2 linked regions of the Coturnix japonica genome follow. The protein of the gene in region 1 purifies or fractionates together with the protein of each later gene. This does not show direct contact. Links are inferred from orthologs where the notes say so. Each region holds a gene or a part of one and is shown on either strand. Other genes may lie near its edges.

Region 1 (4,111 bases):
AGGCAGCACCTGAGTATTAAGAGTTATGAGGCGGCGTTATGTTTTGATAACCAGCTTTAGGTGTGGTGTGCTGCTGTTAATGCTCAGCTGTTTGACCATGGACTGGAGGAGTGCATGAGTTCTGCCCATAGAACCACAAGGCAGAAGAATGTGCTGCAGCACAGAGCACCCAAGCACCAGACCTGTACTGGGAAAGCTGAAAAGCAAAAGGGAAGTGTGATCGTTGATGCAAAGCACCTGGATGGTGAGGAGCACCTTTACCCAGCCATTCTCCCCAGGAGTTTGTCTCTGAGTGCCCCTTTACAGCAGGGCCAGAGAAGAAAGTGTTGCACAGCAACTGTAGGGAAGCCAACACCAAATCACCGCCTGTGTTTGCAGACAACACAAATGCCCAGCACGGCACACAGCGAGGAAACCAGGACAACAGCACGGAGCTGCCTGGTTCGCATGGCAACCTGACCTCACACTTTGTTCGTCAGTGCAGACCAACGTAAGGCCATGCATCAAGGAACAAAGAGCACAGAGTGAGTGTGCAGAGCACAGCCCGTGTCCCAGAGCACAGCCCGTGCCCCAGAGCAGCCGTAACCTTGAGAAGAGCTTTAAGGTCATACACAGCAAAGAGCTCGACACAAACTCAGTGCAAGGCAGCAGCGAGAGAACTGAGGAGGCGTGAGGAAGGACACTGGGCAAGACTCTCCCTGGAGTCTTCTCTACTCCAAGCTGAACAAGCCCAGTTCCCTCAACTGAGAGAGCAGACCCTCTAACATTAATCTCAAATGTAAAGTTTTAACCACTCCTCTTCTACCAGGGCTGGTGGAAGTCACAGTCCAGGACTGGGGAATTGAGGCAGAGTTGGGAATTTAGCAGCAGGAACAGGAGCAGCTCCACATCTCCATAGCCAGGGCCTCCCTTACCTCCTGGAACTCGTTCAGGAAGGAGTGCTCATAATCACCCCGGCAGCGTCGCTCCATCCTCTCCTTGATCATCCTGTGCAGGATGGTGGTCACAGCATCAGCACTCACCCTCTCCAGCAAATTGAGCTGGCGGCTGCAGACACAGAACCTCGAGTGAGTGAGCAGAAGCAAAAGCATGAAGAGAAAACTGAGCTAACAGAGCACACCTGCTGCCATGTGCTGTGCAGGTGCTCTTAATTTAAGCACTCTGATTGCAGGCAGCAATAACACATCACACAGCTGCCATCCTATCTTCAGAAACACTGTCATAGGGTTATAGAATCACAGAATCATTTGAGTTGGAAGGGACCTTAAAGGCCATTAGGTCCCACTCCCTGCAGTGCACAGGGACACCCACAGCTCCATCAGTGCTCAGAGCCCCAACACCTGCCCTTGGCTGTGCCATACGTACAGGATGTCATTGAGCTGCCGGAACCGCTCCATGGCCGTGGGGCACCAGCACTGCTCCCTCCTGCTGCCGCAGCCCGCACACACCGCGCTCTCCCCTCCGCTCTCCTCCGTGTCACTCTCCTGCTCGGCCTCACTCATGCTGCTCTCACACTCATTCATTCCCTCTTCTCCCTTCTTCCACTGCCGCATGTATATCCGGAAGGTGCGGCTGTAGAACTGCTGGATCATCTCCTGGAAGGGTTTGGTGGTGGAGAAGAACAGGATGGCTTTGAACATGGTGTACACCTTCTCCCGCAGCGTCTGAGCTCCCGTCCCCAGGAGCAGCCCGGCCTTGGTGCATCCCTCCAGGAGCTCCATGCTGCTCAGGTAGGGCTCCAGGCGGCACTTGAGGAGACAAAACGCATCCAGGAGGAGCACTGAGCACTGCTGCTCCTCCGCCGTGTTCTCATATTGACCGACGCAGTTCCAGAACTCGGGGGCGATGTGTGCCTGCAGGTCGGTCTGCAGCACCTCGAGGAACCACTCCTCCACCGCAGCGTGCAGCCCGTAACAGCGCAGCACCTCCAGGGCGGCCCGCAGCTCCGCATCCTGCAGTGGGCGAACCGGGTCACAGCGCCCCGCTGCCTGGGGAGCAGAGGGGATGAAAGGTTGAGCACGGAGCACACAGCCAGACCTTTATGCCCCCATCCCTGGGCACGGTGCGGGGCTGGCAGCCCATGGCAGGGGGGGGTGGGCTGTAAGGATTCTCCCAACCCGACCATTCTGACTCTAGGCAGACACGTACCAGGGGGGACCCTCGACGTGTGGGCTGTGCCCATCCCACAGACCCAAAGCTACTGGATTAAAATCAGTTCTGTTGCTTGTATATGTTAACTACATTACATATTTAACGAGGGCTGCTCTGAAAGTGATGCCTCCTATTTTATTGTACTGGCCCACAGTGTCAGAGGGGGATGTGGGTAGGACGGCAGCCGAGGCTGAACCTCCCACCAATACACTACTGCTATGTGACGTACGGCAGCAAGGGGCAGTCTGACATGGAAGCGAATGGAGCACACGTCTCTCGTTCATCACAGTGCCGGCCAATTTGCTCTATTTACGCTCCCATCTCTTTGTATCTATCGCAGCTCCTACAGAACACAACAGGAGGCATCACTTTCGGAGCGGACCAGCACCACCTCTATGCCCTCGGACAAGCCGCATCCCGCACACGGCAGCGATGTGCCGGGGGGGGCTCAGCCCAACCACCCGCACAACGGCCACCGTTACCCCCATTACCCGCTGCTGGGGCCGCACCGTGACCCACACCCCCCCATCCCGTCCCGTCTATCCCCCCATCCCTTTGCCCCCTCTCCCCGCTCACCAGCCCCAGCGCTGCGGGCGGTACCAGGGCGGCACTGAGTGCGCTCCACGCCGCCGACAGCCCCGCACCCGCCGCCTCCATGTCCCGCAGGAAGGGGCGGAGCGCGGAGCCGCCGTTGGGGCCGCACGATGAGCGGAACCGGGGAAACGCTGCAGGGCTACAACGCTGCGCTGCTGGAGGGTGGGTGAGCGGGGACGGGAGGGGGGCAGCGAGCAGCCGGTGCTCACACGGTGATGGTGGTGGTGGTGGGTCCGAGCAGGGCTGGCCGAGCTCCGAGCACGGCGGGATGAGCTGAGCGAGAGGATCCGGGAGGAGGAGGCGGAGAGAGAACGGCTGCAGAGCCGCATCGCGGCGCTCACAGAGCGCTTGGCCCGAAGCTCCGAGCGAACGGCGCGGAACCTGGCTGCAAAACGGCAGCTGGAAAACAGCATCGCTGAGAGCGAGGCGGCTTATGGCAAGGTACGGCCATAGGGAACCCCATACACCAGGGGGAGACAGAGCGGGGAGGAGTTGGTGCAGACATTTGAGGTCAGGAATGGAGCTCTGAGCACTGATGGAGCTCAGGGTGTCCATGAGCACTGCAGGGAGTGGGACCTGATGGCCTTTAAGGCCCCTTCCAGTTCAAACGATCCCACGGTTCTGTGCCTGCTCCATTCAGCTGAGCTCAGCTCTTCATTCAAGCCCCACTCAGCACTTGAAGAAATAAAAGTTTCTCCAGGTGGTCGCCTACATTTTCCTTTCTCACATGTGTCTTTTGAAGTGCTGTAAGCACGGCATCCTCCTCACCCAGCCGGACCTGCACTAAACATGGGAAGTGCTGGGGGTTGGGAGGCAACCAGCTGCCACAATTCACTCATTAGTAATAAATATAAGTATATAAATAAATATTTGTGGAATATTTATCATCCAGCACTAAAAGAGAAGTTGGTTCAGCTGCCATACCCTGTGTAAACCCTGATGGACCCTCTGCATCTCCCACATTAGCTGCTAATGACTGTAAAGAGTCAAGACTTCCATCAGCACACACCCCAATGCAGCACACGAGGGGCACAGCCCAGCTGCCGCACTCAGCCAACACACCTCATAGGGCTGTGATGACACACAGGGATGTCAGACCCACCAGGACACTGTTTGGAAGGGAAGGTGATGTGAGGAAGCACTCCAGGACCCAAAGGTTGGGGAGAACTTGTGTGAGAATGGAACAGCTTGGAAGCGGTGTTGTAAAGTTACACCACAAACAGCACAGGTTGGAAAAGAAACCTTCCCTGAGATACAAACCACGACCCCCTGTCCTACAAACAAAGCCGTGTTTATTGAAATTAGGGGACAGAGTCACAGCAGGTGAGAAGCCAAGGGGTGAGGAGAGGAAACATGGTCATCCTGC
Region 2 (3,515 bases), on another chromosome or scaffold:
AATGGGGCATGCTTTGGAAACCCCAGTCAGAGCACATGCAGTGTGTTTTGTTTTCTAATGTCACAGCAAGCCCCTATGACCACTGGTCCCTTTATCTTGGTACTACGCATTACCTAAATAAACCACAACTTATTCTGCCCATACTTTGCATTTCCCCTTAATGCTCTTTTATACCCCCTTTCAGTCACCAGAGAAACCTCTCAGCTCCCGAAAACAAAAGCATATCACAAATGCAGACAAACCCCTACGTTGGTTGGATGACAACATGATAATGAAGAATAAAACATCCCCAACCCATTGGGGAAAGCACGCTCCCTGGCGATGCCGCAGCTTCTAATTTGTGCAGTAATTATTGAAGCCAATTCAACCAAGCCCTGTAAAACTTCACAAGTGCTAAGCTAAGGACGGTATGAAGGCTTGCAAGATACAGCCCTGGAGGGCTGTGAACTCCATGATCATCTTCACCCATTTAATTTGACTGTCAAATGGAAGGCTCTGAAAAGGAACGGAAATCAATAGGTGAAGGGATTGAAATTTCCCTGCTCCCCCAGAGCATACATACCCAGCCTTCACAAGCTGACAGATCTTCTATAGGGAAAGAAGTAGCTCTCAGAGCAGCCAAAAGCAGTTAAATTGGATGTTCACCCCGGCCTGCGAGTTACCCAAAAATTAGCAGCTATTATGCACAGCAAGAACACCTCCTGCTCAGCATCTGCTGATACACAGCTATGTCTAGACTGCATTTATACAACCAGTTAACTGCAAAAGATACAGCACTGAGTCACCTCCTCAAAGACGGCAATGGAAATGGTGTCAGTGCCTTTAGTTTTGTGTTTGTTTGATAAATGAAGCCTTGTTATTCCATCTCCAAGCCCACAAGCCTTCACCTAAGGGTTCCTCAGGGTGTCTGCAGCTCCAGCACAAGCAGGAAGTAATCAGGTGCTCTCAGCATGTCTCATTAACCTCACCGGGCTCTTAAGAAAAGGATTTACTCACTCTTCTACTTAGCACCGCACTGCAAGGCAGGAGGGGGCTTTTTAAAGGGGAAAACAAAGGGATAACGTTCTTAGAGAGGCAAAATACAGACTGCAAGGCGCTGAGGGACCGCTGCAAAGTGCCGAAGCAGCCACGTCGCTGTGCGCTGCATCCATCCGCCTGCAGAAGGTACCGAGGGTCTCATTGACACCATGGGAGCTTGGCAGAAGAGTGGCAAGGAGCGTTAAGAGGGAAGCCCCGCGGTGAGGCTGTTGTAAAGGCCGGGCACACAGCGGTGCATACATACATACGTACATACATACCTCCCCTGGCCATTCCTCTGCATGCCTGCCAGCAGAGCCTCCATCACCCAGCGCCGGCGGGGTCAGCAGGGGGGAAACCACGCAAAGCAGCGGCCACCGCATCCACGGGCAGCGGGAGGGGAAAGGTGGGGGAAATAGAGGGGCAGCAGGAAGGGCAGAGACACGAAGTGACGGGGCAGAGAAATGGTTGGTTGTACGGAACAAGAAGGTACCGCACAGTGAGCGGACCGCACCGACCGCACCGAGCCCACCCGCAGGGCGCTGCCGGCCGGGGAGGGGAAGGAACGGAGGCGGCGGCGGGTGATGACGGTACAGCGGGCGCCGGAACATCGCTGCGGGATGGGGCGGAGCGCTGCCGGCAGAACCGAGCGCGTTGGGGCCGCTCGAGTCCCCGCGGGACGGGGCTGGTACGGAGCTACCTCGGAGGGTGAGGATGGACAGCGAGGTGCAGCGGGACGGCCGCATCCTGGACCTGATCGATGACGCGTGGAGGGAGGACAAGCTGCCGTACGAGGACGTGGCCATCCCGCTGGTAGGTGGAGCACAGAGCCACATCCAGCCCGGCCTTGAATGCCTGCAGGGATGAGGCATCCACTGCCTCCTTGGGCAACATGTTCAGTGCGTCACCACCCTCTGGGTGAGGATCCTCCCCTTCCCTGTTCGCACAGGTGTAAGCCGGCCAAAATCACGGCATCTGATAATGCCTGCAAAGAGACATTGCCAAATTGCAGTGACATCATTCAGCCCTTACAGCACAGTGTGGCATCACTCTTGGAAGAAGAGCAGCTCCTTCTCAGCAGAGGAGGCAGGAAGCAGCTGCCCTCCTCCAAAACCAATAATAACCAATGCAGCAACACGGGGAGCAAATAACACGAGGAAGTCAAATGAAATCGCATTTAAACTCTCCTTCCTCCCCCCTGCATGCTGAGCAGCTTGGTGTTGTATCTCCTGTTGTTACAGCACAGCCACAGCAGAGCTCCACATGCAGCAAGAGGAAGGATTTCTCACCTTGCCATAAGAAAGCGATATGTTACAAAGCCAGCTGTCTTAATAGAGCTACGGTAAATGCAGTATCTGTATTCTGGGCAGCAACAAAGAACCACAATCTAAACAAGCAATGGAATAATTGCACCGTGTTATTATTTACTTATTTTGCATTTTCTCTATATTCTCCTTCACTGCGTGTGCAGTCTGAGTACATAGCAAGGCCCCGGGGCCCTGGAAAGCCAATTTACCTTTCAGATGAAGCATCATAATCATATGAAAAGCACATTGTTCCTCCCTGGGCTCAGTAATATTTTAACTGAATCTGGATGTATGATATGTATTGTTCAGATGCCCCCTCCAGTCTCATTTGTGGATTTTTTTGTATTTATTCATAGGAAGTCTTCGTCACCAGCTCCTTTTTAGGCAGCTTGTTATGCACTGAATGCATTGTACCTTTTTTCTTCTTGTCGTTCTCAGAATGAGCTCCCTGAACCAGAGCAAGACAATGGAGGCACAACTGAGTCTGTGAAAGAGCAAGAAATGAAGTGGACGGATTTATCTCTGCAGTATCTCCATGAAAACGTCCCTCCCACAGGAAACTGATGAATCCGGGGGCATTTCACGACAAATTCTCTGTTAACTTATTCTTTACTTGGTGCCAATTCTGTTCTTAAGTGTTTTCTACACATGATAAAAAATGTGTTTTTTCACCATCTGGAGTTGTTCTTATATGTCAAAACTGGGGATGGGATGTTTGTGACCGTGGAGGTTTATGTCCCAAGAGGTATAACTGTGTTTTGTGTTAGAGTTCGCTGCCAGTGCTGACCACTGTATATTTACACGTTGTTTAAATGGTGCGATTTGTGCTCAAATGATGGTTACTCAAAATCCCTATTGGCTGAGCACGTTGGATGTTCTGTGAGGACATGGGCGCTGAGTAGGAGGATGCTTGGTTTGAGTGGCTGGGGCAGCCCCTGCCTGAGGAGTCAGCAGTGCCTGCTCTGAGCCAGCAGTGAGCTCATCTGAACAAGAAGGAGCTGCATGCAGCCAGCAGGCTGCTCAGGATTAACCCAAGCTTCATATGTACAGTATAGACCTTAGAAACAGCTACGCTGCTGGGAACTGTAATAGTTCAGCTCCTCGCTGTATCTCAGCAGGGGGCAAAACAGAGCTTGGGCTTAATGAGGTATTTCTGATCCTCCCCATGTTCCCTCTCCCTGCAAAGAAAAC

What was found.
Region 2: the proteins of ANAPC2 (region 1) and ANAPC13 purify together in Homo sapiens (affinity purification with mass spectrometry; 3 studies listed by BioGRID and IntAct, counting the BioPlex papers as one, with this or other methods). This does not show direct contact. The link is inferred for Coturnix japonica from reciprocal best matches to the Homo sapiens genes ANAPC2 and ANAPC13.

What each region holds. Positions count from the first base shown.
Region 1 is NC_029532.1:1,027,289-1,031,399, reverse strand, and holds the start of ANAPC2 (anaphase-promoting complex subunit 2), read right to left. Parts: upstream 2,830-4,111; 5' UTR 2,809-2,829; coding exon 2,728-2,808; intron 1,989-2,727; coding exon 1,366-1,988; intron 1,048-1,365; coding exon 915-1,047; intron 1-914. Other genes in the region: SSNA1 (Sjoegren syndrome nuclear autoantigen 1), read left to right, coding at 2,856-2,907, 2,987-3,186. UniProt on the Homo sapiens protein: Together with the RING-H2 protein ANAPC11, constitutes the catalytic component of the anaphase promoting complex/cyclosome (APC/C), a cell cycle-regulated E3 ubiquitin ligase that controls progression through mitosis and the G1 phase of the cell cycle.
Region 2 is NC_029524.1:2,642,975-2,646,489, reverse strand, and holds ANAPC13 (anaphase-promoting complex subunit 13), read left to right. Parts: upstream 1-1,620; 5' UTR 1,621-1,731; coding exon 1,732-1,830; intron 1,831-2,762; coding exon 2,763-2,888; 3' UTR 2,889-3,000; downstream 3,001-3,515. Other genes in the region: CEP63 (centrosomal protein of 63 kDa), read right to left, coding at 1,299-1,342. UniProt on the Homo sapiens protein: Component of the anaphase promoting complex/cyclosome (APC/C), a cell cycle-regulated E3 ubiquitin ligase that controls progression through mitosis and the G1 phase of the cell cycle.